3 linked regions of the Cricetulus griseus genome follow. The protein of the gene in region 3 interacts with the protein of the main gene of each other region in a pairwise test. Links are inferred from orthologs where the notes say so. Each region holds a gene or a part of one and is shown on either strand. Other genes may lie near its edges.

Region 1 (4,157 bases), on a different chromosome or scaffold from region 3:
AAGAAATCTGGTGTGAGGGAGGAACTATGAGCAAAGTATTTCTTATGAAATTATGATACCTAGGAATTATTTCAAAGTCATCAATGGTGAGAAATGCCATGGAGTGGGTAAAGTAAGATCACTCTGAATTGGTAACTGGTAAAGTTGAAAGATAAGCATAGAAGATTCACTGTTGCCCCCCCCCAATATATATCGAAGTTTTCCTTAATTTCTTTTAGGCTTTGAGCACTGTTTGTTTTGATTTTGAAACAGGAATCACTATAGAATACAGCTGTCCTAGAACTCAGACTGGACTCAAACTCATGATCTTCCTAGATCAGCTCTCCATGTGCTAAAAATACAAATGTGTGCCACTACACCTGGCTATAGAACAGTTTCCAAAGATTTAAACATGAATTGACTCAACAGAGCTACTGAGTAAGTAAAAAAAAAAAAAAAAATTGTTTTGAATGGCTTTGTAAATCTACCGTGATATTCAAATGTTAAGGAAAAGAAAGGGTAGCTGATAGAATAAAAGTGAATACTGGATGTTTTCAACAGTACTTAGTGATAACTAATAAATCCAGTAATTCACTAGCTACACAGATGGGCTTTAAGATACAGGAAAATCCAAGCAGGCATGGTGCCCTATGTCTTTAATCCCAGCACTGGGGGTTGGGGGGGGGGCAGAGGCAGGCAGATCTCTGAGTTCGAGACCAGCCTGGTCTGCAATAGCTAGTTCCAGAACAGCCTCCAAAGCCACAGAGAAACCCTGTCTCGAAAAACAAAAACAAAACAAAACAAAAAGATAAATAAACATAATGTTTTTAATTGTGTATAACTATCTTGTCCATTGTGTGTCTTACATGCTGTATAATTCAGGTGTGTATAAGAGTGTATCTATTCTTAGAGTAATTGTAACCCTAAGGAGACAAGGAAAAAACCAATGAACTCAGGTCTTTTTGAAATTACCAAACAATAGGCATTAAGAAAGGGAGGAAGGAAGACAACAGTAAGTTTCTAGCAATATTCATTACTGATGCCCATGACTGAAGTGAAATGTAAGTAACAACAGGAAGAGAAAAAAATTGAGGGTGGCTAAGTTCTGATCAGAATTGAGAATATCATGGGTCACAGCCTGTTACTGAACAAGAAACACTGCAACCACCAAGCACGTAGGCTGATGCAGGTAAACCGCATGCTTTCCACAGAGCAGTGAATTGTGGGAAATCCTGGGTATATTATGGAGTATAAAATGCACTAGGGAATTAGGACAATGGAAGCTTCCTCCTTGGCCTCATTGTAATATGGGGAAATGTATTTCCTCTGTCTGAAAAATCACTTTATATCTCCCAGGGGGAGACCAGGAAATGGGAAAGAAAGAAAGAAAGAAAGAAAGAAAGAAAGAAAGAAAGAAAGAAAGAAAGGAAGAAAGGAAGAAAGGAAGAAAGAAAGAAAAAAGTAAGTATGGTTACTATGGATCACAAATCCATAGGGACACAGTGAAGACAGCCTGGGAAAATGGATGCTTGGAATGTCTTCAAAGGATACTGAGATATAAAAGGAGTGGTGGTGATGGTGGTGATGCTCTTGTATTTATGACTGTCCCTAAAGGTAATGAGAATGATGATTGTGTTTTCTGTTCTCAAATTCCCAAATGGAACTTAGTTTCTACATTACCAGTGTGGGGCACCACGCAGTGTAATAGATGTATTAATATTTAAAGAAAGCTGGTGTGTTTACTGAAAGTAATTTCACTTTAAATCACTGGTCAAATCTGTTAGGAGAAATTAGGAATGGGATGAGAATGAAAAGAATGAGACCCTCATATATATATACATAGATAGATAGATAGATAGATAGATAGATAGCAATAAGGGCTACTGAGTCATGCAATCTATATGAGGGAATTGTATAACATGCCAGTTACATCTATCTCGACTAAACTGTTTTCATCTTAAACTACGAGCTTTTTGGACCCCTAAGGTTGTGTTTACACAAACCCCCTTACAGAAGGGGTTTTTGGTAGATCTGGCCTTGGACAGTTTTCACCAGGATAAGAAACCAAACAAGTACATCACAACTGTGCAGGTTTCGTGTTAATTCGTGCCTGGTGTTAACGTCAACATATTCTACAGAACTGACGAGCGGGATTAAAATTCTAAACAATGACACCTGTGTTCTAAGTTGATTTACAATGCTCCCCCACAGCAATCGCAAGACTTGACACTTGACCCAGCCAGCCACAAGCTGGCAGGTGCTTGCGACGGAGTAAACGTCCTCTTCTACTGACTGCGTGAGAGGCTGCAGCACCGGGATGGAAAAACACCGGCTGGACGTAAAGAATCACGACGGCATCCCTCCGAGCAGGAGAGACGTATTCGAAGGTGAAGAATTAAGAGTCACGACTGACCTCAAAATGCTACCAAAGGAGAATCCATCTCCCCTTCCTAGGCCGACAATAAAAACGAGCTGACCGCCACACTCCTCAGGCCGCCGGGCCCGCATACCGAGCCCCGCCACCGTGCCTCGCGCCCGGGACAGCGGCGAACCTGCGGGCTCCGTGGACCTCACCGGGCCACCCTCGCCCCCCAATCCCGCACGCAGAACCCTCTGGCCTTGCTTGCCTCTCCTCTGCCTTCTACCGCCCACCCGCAGCCAGTTACCTGAAAGCCACTCCGTGGTCCCGTGTTTACATTCCACTTGCCCTTTGCCACAGGAAGCGGAAATGATCCCGTCGGGCTCCTAACTGGCCTTGCCTGTCTGTGCTTTTTATTTCTCTATTGAAAACTCATGAAGTCATCCGGGGACGTTCCAACAGTCCAAAAAAGTGGATAGAAAAAAAAAAAAGAAAGAAAGAAAAAGAGGGCTTTCTTATCCGCCAGACCCTTCTACGAGGCCATTGGTCCCAGAAGTCACTGCGGCGCCCAAGGTACTATGGGATTTGTAGTAGGGCTATCAGCCCGAAACAACGCCCTCTAGCAGCAGCTGGGAGTGGCGGACTCCGGATAGGAGGCTCAAATCCAGGCAGCTGTGCTTTGCCATAAGCACAGTCATCAGGTAAAAGGGATTACAGCCTAACCTAGCCGGTGAGGGAAAGTAAAACGCAGGAAAAAAAAAAAAAAAAAAGGAAAAAACTGAGCTGAAAATAAGTTCAAGGGGACCTGTGCTAATTTATGTTTGTCAACTTGGCATGAAAGACCCCTGCCCCTTAGCCCTTTCTTTCTCAAGTTTGTCTCCTCTTCCTCCTGTCGGCGGCTTCCACTTCCCCCGCCACCCGCCGCACGCCCAGCCCGAGGGTGAGCACCAGGTGGGCCGGCACGAGAACAAACACCAAGTGAGCCGGCCTGGAGCCCTGCCCCTGAGCCCCCGCCCGATGAGAAACACTCTGTCCCAAGGTCTCCGCCCCCAAGGTCAGCCATCTGGACGCGGAGGGAGGGGGAATGAAAGACCCCCAAAGAGGTACTTTCGTAGAAGGGGACCCGCACCCAGGAATCAGCGAGACCACGAGCTTGGATGCAAAACCGCAAGAGGCTTTATTGGAGATACGGGTACCCCAAGGGAAAGGGGTCCTTATATAGGGAAAAAGGCGCAAGCTAGGGGCAGGGATTCTATTGGATAATTCTAATGAGGCATTGTACAGAGCTATTCCCATTGGTCAATGTATATGAGGCGCTATACAGGGTTATTCAAATGAGGCAAAGTACAGAGTTATTCAAATGAGGTGAAACATAGAGTCTTTCAAATGAGGCGAAATACAGAATCATTTCTATTGGATGGTTCAAATGAGACACAGAGCCATTCCAGATCAGCATATTCTCAAGGTCTGGTGTCTGGTACAACAGACTCAATTCCCCCTCCCTCCGCGTCCAGATGGCTCGGATACCCGTATCTCCAATAAAGCCTCTTGCGGTTTTGCATCCAAGCTCGTGGTCTCGCTGATTCCTGGGTGCGGGTCTCCTTCTACGAAAGTACCTCTTCGGGGGTCTTTCAGGCACAAACCTAAACATAGCTAAAAGAGGGAATCTTCTTTCTTGAGAAAATGCCTCCATAAGATTGGCGTCTAGGTAAATCGGGGTATTGTCATGAGTAAGGACTGATGTGGGAGGGCCCAACCCATTATAAGTGGTACCACCTCTGGGCAAGTGGGTTCCGGTCGGCATTAGGAGGTAAACGGA
Region 2 (3,986 bases), on a different chromosome or scaffold from region 3:
TGATAGGGAAACATCTGGTTTTGAGATAATTTAAAAGACTTACATGTAATCTGCCTCGAAGCTCTCGGTCGTTTCTCATCTTCACATAAATTCGCTCATCCAAACTGAGCCTGATGAGATCCAGGGGCTCCTCTACGGTATTGGTAGTCTGTTGCTGATGAAGGAAACACACTTAGTAATGGACCACCAGAGGCAGAGTGGTGTTTCAATCACTGTTAAGCAGTGAAACCAAGGGCTAGTCACATAACCCGTTTATACCTTAGTCTAATTTGCCAAATGCAGAAAATAGTGTCTCCCCAATACTATTATTTTAAATGACATATGAAAGCTTAGAACGGTGCCTCGATGCTATGTAAAAGAGGAGAAAAACATTATGTGGAGAGGAGTTAAGTAGCAAAATGATGACTGAACTTCCAAAAAATCCAAAGTGTTAGAGTACCACTTAGGAACCTTAGCTTTATCTTTTGTATAATTCAATCATTTGAAAAACATACCTGCAATACCTATTCACACACTACTAAAAAGATCTGACAGAATTTGAAGTCAGTACAGCGCAGGTTAAGTTTAGGGTGCTAATTGGCTGGCAAGATGAACCTACCTACCGAGTAGTATAGTATAGAAGTTAAAAGAACTGAGTCATTAGGAAGCCTTTGTTCAATTCTGGGTTCTGACCTGGCTCTTCTGAACTGGGATTAAAAATCATGCCATTTCTTGTTTCAGACTCCTCATTTGCAAACTGGGGAGACCACATCTTTGCCTCAGAGATCTTATAAGGACTAAAGGGTCTATCTGAAGTAAAAAGGAAACACTTCTAAATAATTACCTTTTTTTTTTTTTTTAAGAGGCATGCCCATGACAGCCTTTGATGAGCAGCAAGTCTTTGCCTCTCAGATGCTGGGATTGGGCAGGTATGAACCGAGTCTGGAACTTTTAAGAGTGTGTGTGTGTGTGTGTGTGTGTGTGTGTGTGTGTGTGTGTGTGTGTGATGGGGTTCAAGTAGCTGTCAGAAGACAACTTTATAAAGTTCTCTCCTTCCTCTGTGTGTCCCAGGAATTGAACTCAGGTTGTCACGCTTACAAACTGCAAGCATTTTTACCTGTTATCTTACCAGCCCCACTCCCAGCACCTGTAATTTCTTATATTTAATATAATCTCTTGCTTGCTTCAAGATTTAAGAATGCATTCTTGGTCAGTCATTTCAGAGGAATGATAAATCAGAATTACTCTTCAAGAACTGTTGGAACAGGTTTCAAAGGTTAGAACTGGGATGACCTGGATTCAGCTATATGAAAGAGGTGGTTCCAGCCATCAAGAATTAGTAAGACCATTCAGCAAGCTTCTCCAGTGAGTACCTGGGGTCAGTGAAAGCTGAAAATTGTAGGCTGTGTAGATATGAGGCTGATGACAGGAAACAAACAACCCTCCCAGAACACCCCCAACCCCGGATCTCAACTGGTGCTTTCCTCCTCCCACCTTAGCTCAGCAGGCTTTTGTTAAGAAATCAGACAACCAACCACTGGATTACAACAATACAGAAGCCGCATCCCCTCAATGGAGCTCACTCTAGTATGGAGAGGGGCATATAAATACATAGCTGCAAAACAATGAAATCTGTTCCCACGACAGCCCTCTTCAGTCTAGGATGGCCACTGTCAATCCTTTTCACCCTGTAAGCTTTACATTCTGCCTTTTCAAAGAAGCTGCCCCTGAACATTGGGTTCGTTCCCTCAACTAATAACCTGCTGAGTGCTAACAGCACTGTCCTAAACCTAGGAAAGAAAAGCAAACACAGAAAACCCCCCTTTATTTTAAAGGTTTACTTTTATCGTGTATGTGAGCAGTTTGCCTGTATGCATGTGCACCACACGCTGACACAGTGCTCGGTAGCAGAGGCCAGAAGGGGGCAGAGGATCCCCTCCTGCAACTGGAGTTAAGATGCGTTGGGGTGCTGTTAAGCCAACATGTGGGTGCTGGATCCCAACCATGGTCTTCTACAAAAGCAACAAGTGCTCTTAACTCCTAAAGCAACCTCTCCAGCCACCCCCGCCCCAATGCCCCTATTAAGTAACTTACGTTCTAGTTATGGAAGAAATGTCTCAGATAAAGAAATACATATTTAAAATAACATGCTCTGTTATTTTAAATACCCGTGTGTGGGTGCGTGTGCGTGTGAGGGAGTGCAATCATTTCGGAACTCCACAGGTAGCTAAGGAATAGGGGGAAGAGCAGGTGAAGAGGGCAGCCTGTGATCCTGTGTGCACCCGATCTTGGCTTGCTTTCTCCAGACTACATCTCCACCAGGTTCTCTACCTCCCTCCCTCCCTCCTACTGCACTCCAAGTGAGCCGCTGCCTGCGCACCAGGCGCTTGCACGTATTACAAAGCTGGTGTCCACCACTACCTCACGCTTTCTGTCTGGTGTCGACAGCCGTTTGCATTTTACAGATAAAAGCCGATGCCGAGCGTGATGGGCAGATAGGCGGGTTGAGAAAACTCTAGGCCTGCGGAAGTTTCAGGAGCCGGCGCGGCTACGGAAGGCCGTGGTTCCTCGGGACAAAGAGAGACGGGCCGCTTCTCAGCGAGCGTGGAAAACGCGAACCCGACCTGGAAGCGCAAGCGCTTCCTCTAAGAGCGCCTCCGGACAAACTTACCTGATCTACGTCGTCCGCCATGTTTCAAACGCTGCGCCCTTTCCACCTCTCGCGAGAACAGGCACTCAGAAACGCAAAGGGTTCCACTCTCGGGAAGTAGACCTACTTTATTTTTGTCCCTTTGCGCCCCTGTAGTTTGCAGGGGGAGGGGTTTCTCCGGAGGGCGTGGTCCCAACCTGGTCAGGGGGCGCGGCCCAGGCATGGCCCGCCTCGGGGCGGGGCGAGCACGCGGAGAGTGTCTGCGGCCGGCTGGCTGCGGTAGCCCGGAGTGTCGCTGCCGGGCAGCATGGCTCCGAAGCGCCCTGCGGGAGGAAGGCGGCGGGGGCGCGGCCGAGAAGCCGAGAACAACAAAGCAGCCCGGCCGGAGGAGAGCGAGGCGGGTGAGAGGCTGCGGCGCGCAAGGCGATGGTGGCGGAGGCTGGGGCGGGCAGCGGGGCGGAAGGTCTCCACGGCCGGATGCGCGGCGCCCCGAGGGCCTCTACCATCAGCCCTGACCCCACCGTAACCCCTAGGACCAAGTCCAGCCTCTTGGCAAGTGTTGAGGGCCGATCAGGAAAAAGCTTCCCTGTTGCCCGGTGTCAGAGAGACACCAAAACTAGGACAGAGGGAGACCTTGTAGTGTGAGAATCTCTCTCCAAGTTGCATCCACTGTAATTCCGGCCCCAGGTTTGCGATGCGCTTCTTACCTTGGTCTTGAACCAAGGAGAAGCTTAAAATATTCCCATCTCAATAAATCACTCCTTCACCCACCTGTTAAAACACGCCTTTTCTTAACTGCTAGTTCGTCAGGAGGTCCAGTTCAGCTTCGGAGTCACTGAAATATGTGCCTAATTCTCTTAATTTCATAGCTGGTATCCTGTTCCTGTCGTTTTCTAGTTGAGTGAGTTCCCCTCTACATCAGATCTCCATCCAGCAGCCAAGTGATGTAGAACGACAACAAAACTTCATATGCCTTGGTCTTCTTACTTAAAACCTTCTTAGATGTGTGCTCTCCGTGTATAGCATCTACCTCACTTAGCATGTCTCTCTTCCAGATATTCTTATTTTAAACAGCAGCCCGGCCTAGAGCTCTGGGTTTTTCCTGTCTCATCCTCATGATCACAGGGATTACAGATGGCTCTTGGTGACTGCCTTTCTCTTCTTTGAATATACTGTTTATTTATCTGGAGGCTTGGCCTTCCATGTTTCTTTGCCTTAGAATGTTCTCCGTCGCTGTTGCTGGGTCTAATTTCTTCTCTACTTGAGGTCTAAGACATTCCACGGTCATCTTAAAGTAGTCATTCCTAGGTATCCTCCACCACAGAATCACAGTGATGTTCCTATTCACCTATCATTC
Region 3 (4,108 bases):
TACACTTACTGTCTTTACACACCAGGGTGGGGATCCAAAAGTCAGACCAGCCTGATGGAGTCCTGGTGCCTTCTCACGGGCAGAGTGAGCCCAGGGTCCATAGAAGTCCACAAAGCACACACAGAGCATCTCTGCCTCCCTCTTCCCCCACTGTTCCTGTTGCCACTTCCTTCTAGGCACAATGCCTTGGGGGGGGTTCTCACTGTCTACAGTAAGCCTCCCCAAAATCTACAGAGAAGTAACTCCCTTTGAGGCAGTCCTTTGTTCAAATGTATGTCTATAAAGAACAAATATTGCACAAACCGATGTTAGTGTGGAGACCAGACATCCAGTTTTATTAATTGAAATGAGGTCACATGTGTGGTTTTGAAGCGTGGTCTCACCCTATCACCCTGGCTGGCCTGGGACTTGCTATATAGACCAGACTGGCCTCACACTTACAGAGATCTATCTACCTGCCTCTGCCTCTGCCTCCCAGGTGCTAAAATTAATGCACCACCACTTGCAGGAGTCAGCTCTCTTCCATCATGGGGGTCCTGCCACACCTCAGGCCATCAGTTTGGGTAACAAGCACCTTTTTACCTTTTCAGCCATCTCACCAGCTCCTAACAATGAGTTTTATCCACTAATTCAAGACGAAAAACCCAAATCAACCCCCCCCCCAAAAAAAAATCACCACCTAAACACACAAACAAAACCCTGCACAATCAAACTCTATAAGATACTCCCAGTGAAGATCTAATGGGGCCAAGTTGCACAGGCCTGCAATGGACTACTCAGTAAGTTCAGGCAAGAGGATCACAAGTTCAAGGCTACAAAGGCAACTCAAAGTCAACCTAAGTAACTAAGACCAAGTTTCAAAGTTAAAGTTAAAAAAAAAAAAGTTAAAGTTAAGAGCATTGTACAAATGGCTGGGCTATAGCCCTGCAGTACAGCTCTAATCTAAGTTACACAGGGTCCCAGGTTTCCTCCTCAGCACTACTCAGGTTGGAGGATGGAGTGGAGGAGTGGAGGGGTGGAGTGGGGGGCAGGGTGGGGCAGGAAAAACAAATGCAATTTGACACTCCAAACAAAATGACTCAAAAATATGACATGCAAATACAAACCAACTTCACAACTCTCTACAGAACAACTCACTGTCTCCCTTCCCACCTCCAGTTTCTTTCTCCCACAGGACTCCCCACCAGCCTTGTTATCCTTTTGTTGGCCACCCAAGTCACATTGCACCACCTTCCCAATAATAGGGCTTCGACCGCATTCACTGTAACCCATTGGTGCAGACCTGTGCTTGGTGAAAATAGTTTTGTGAAATGTTCTGCCTATGAGATAAATCAGAACTGGTAACTCGGATCACAGTGCCAGTTGTGTAAGCATGCTAGCATTCAGGACTGTTAGCCAACATTCTAAAGTCTAACCACTGTTATAGATAGCTTTCCCTTGTCTCTGTCAGTCCTGAGAAGTAAATTCTGTACTGTAGTTTGTCACAAGACTCCTGTTCAGACAACATCTACCACAGCTCTGAAATGCTCTCTGGTTCATGGTTTTGGGGGTGTAAAACATAACTTGCAGTGGTGGCGAACACCTTTAATCCCATAACTTGGGAGGCTGAGGCAGGCAGATCTCTGTGAGTTTGAGATCAGCCTGGTCTACAAAGCAGAGTTCTAGGACAGCCAGGACTGTCACACTGAGAAACCCTGTCTCGAAAAAAAAAGAAAGAAAGAAAGAAAGAAAGAAAGAAAGAAAGAAAGAAAGAAAGAGAGAAAAGAAATTTGTACAACTTCAAAATAAAAACATCCACCTACGCCAGGCATTAGTGGCACACGTCTTTAGTCCCAGCACTCAGGAAGCAGAGGCAGGTGGATCTACAGAGTTCAAGGCCAGCCTGGTCTACAGAGCAAGTTCCAGGACAGCCTCCAAAATAATACAGAGAAACCCAGTCTCAAAAAAAAAAAAAAAAAAAAAAAAAAAAAAAAAAAAAATCCACCTACACTGTCTTCACACATCGACTTTAACCTTAAAAAAAGACTAGATATATGTAAATTTAATATTGTAAAACAACAGCAAGAATTTAAGAGCCCAGAATTGCAGAATCATGGTTGCACCATCTAGTAGCGGCACCCCAATGTGAGGTTGACAAGCCGCTGGCTTTCCCAAGTGAAGACAGTCCCTAGTCCCCAACTACTCTCTAGTTTATCAAACGATGTCTCCACAGTTTTAATTCTGCTTTTATAGCCTTCATTGATTTTACAAGAGGAGGGCATGTCAATAATTTCTGCCTGAAAGTACTTCTAGAAGAGATTTCTTTTGAAAACACCAACATTCATTAAGACCCATCCGGAGGCTTCCAGAAGCGAAACAAAGTTAAATCTTATTACTAACATGGATACTACTAGATGCCTTAAAGATATTCCAGTTTTATGGTTTAGGAAAGCCCTGTTTCACCCCAAATGATAGTCATACCCCAGGCTAGGTATGAGAGGGCCTTATCCCTTGTCCTCAGGGTGTTCCCACCCTCCTCTCCAGGTCTACCAGGCCCAACCCAAAGACTTTCATCTGCAGCGTCCCTAGCTGTTTCTGCCACAAGGGACCCTCTGTTCCCTGGTCTCCAGCTACCAGGACTCCTAGGCCCAGACAGGGCACACCCCTGCTGCCCCATCTGCTGGCCCCAAGGCGGTTGGTACCTTGAGGACTATGGGCAGCCAGCTTCGTTTATTCTCATCCAAGTACACGTGCCTCTCCCAGATCCACAGGCGTTGGGGGTCTTGGGGTGTCTCTGGTCTGTACACCGGCTGTTCAGCCATGGCATCCGGCTGGAGCAAGAAGCAAAGATTTGCAAAGGCAATATCTGATAAAAACTACTCTCTGGTGGTGGGCAACGAGAACCTAGACTATTTATTACCACCAGGTGTGCGCCTGCGCCCCCTGGAGCGAGGCGAGGTGGGGCGGGGCAGGGCGGAGCCAGCGGAGTGGGTGGGGCGAACCACAAGTTTGGTAGGCAAGGCAACCAGGGGGCTTCTGGGTCTCTGGCTTGCAGGCCTGATCTTCAGGGCCCCAGTTAGTCCTGGACTCCTCCGGGTACACCGGGCAGCAGCAAAGGTACACCCAGGTCCTGTCTTAGGAGACACTGCCCTCCGCTTTCTCTATGGTGGAATCCCAAGGTCCAAGGCAGTTACTGTGTATGTGGCTGCACAGGCCACACCCCATAGCAGGCCACCCAGGGCAAGGTCAGTCTTCACTTCTGGCATCAGAGACCTGAGAGAGCATGGCTCACTTCTGGACCCTCCGGGCCTCTCTCTGTCACCTTCAGCCTGTCCTTTGGGGTGTCAGAGGCAATTTCCTTTGCAAAGTTCAGTTCGTGTGCCTTCGCTCTTTCCCACGTGACTTTTTCCATGGCTCTGATGAGGCTGTGGTCTTCTAATAGGTCTTGCAAAACAGACTTTTGAAAACAGGGGTTTCTGTCTTTGTGCTCCGACTTAGTGGACACATCATTCCAGACCCATGCTTAAAAAGAAACCCTTCCTGCACACCAAGAGTAATGGATTTGGAAAGTCTCTGGGTTGCTCAATCAAAACTGTCTCATTGTAAATAAATGAGGAAAAACGACTTCCCTTTAGTTTACGGTAACATGTGCCCATTAAGGCAATTAAGAAATTAATGAAAAACATGTAAAAACAAGTTCCAGGCCCGTTGCTCAAACAACCCTTTAGCTAGCAGCTCTGAGCCTCACCTTCTAGCCCTTTCCTCTCGGAGGATGCACAGAGGAAACCATTGGTGGTCTTTGGAAGGTCAATGAGTGATCAAGTGTGGACATCGGATCAAATCCCCCAGGTATGCCAAGAAGGCCTGCGGTCAGCCAGGTATATTCCGATTAAACAGGAAAAGAAACCAAGAAAAGGCTCAAGTCCCCCAGACCAGTGCAACTCTTAATGGTGTTAGCATTTAGTATTCAGACTGCTGGCTTTCAGGCTGATTTCCCTGTGGATGGCTCTTTATCCCCAGATCCAAATAGCTGCATAGAAATAGGAATAAGCTTGGTGGGGAAGCTCCCGGTGAGTGCAGATAATGAGCCTAGTGTAGTTATTTATTTTAATTCACTATTATTGTGTTT

What was found.
Region 1: the proteins of Tcl1a (region 3) and Ttc33 interact in binary tests that used the Homo sapiens proteins (3 or more experiments, as listed by UniProt). The two-hybrid records come from large-scale screens. The link is inferred for Cricetulus griseus from reciprocal best matches to the Homo sapiens genes TCL1A and TTC33.
Region 2: the proteins of Tcl1a (region 3) and Lsm3 interact in binary tests that used the Homo sapiens proteins (3 or more experiments, as listed by UniProt). The two-hybrid records come from large-scale screens. The link is inferred for Cricetulus griseus from reciprocal best matches to the Homo sapiens genes TCL1A and LSM3.

What each region holds. Positions count from the first base shown.
Region 1 is NC_048595.1:339,164,149-339,168,305, reverse strand, and holds the start of Ttc33 (tetratricopeptide repeat protein 33), read right to left. Parts: upstream 2,808-4,157; 5' UTR 2,646-2,807; intron 2,412-2,645; exon of another isoform or gene 2,393-2,411; intron 1-2,392.
Region 2 is NC_048601.1:52,288,973-52,292,958, forward strand, and holds the start of Lsm3 (U6 snRNA-associated Sm-like protein LSm3), read right to left. Parts: upstream 2,801-3,986; 5' UTR 2,672-2,800; coding exon 2,651-2,671; intron 155-2,650; coding exon 44-154; intron 1-43. Other genes in the region: Xpc (DNA repair protein complementing XP-C cells), read left to right, coding at 2,937-3,030. UniProt on the Homo sapiens protein: Plays a role in pre-mRNA splicing as component of the U4/U6-U5 tri-snRNP complex that is involved in spliceosome assembly, and as component of the precatalytic spliceosome (spliceosome B complex).
Region 3 is NC_048598.1:189,486,329-189,490,436, reverse strand, and holds the start of Tcl1a (T-cell leukemia/lymphoma protein 1A), read right to left. Parts: upstream 2,802-4,108; coding exon 2,682-2,801; intron 1-2,681. UniProt on the Homo sapiens protein: Enhances the phosphorylation and activation of AKT1, AKT2 and AKT3. Promotes nuclear translocation of AKT1. Enhances cell proliferation, stabilizes mitochondrial membrane potential and promotes cell survival.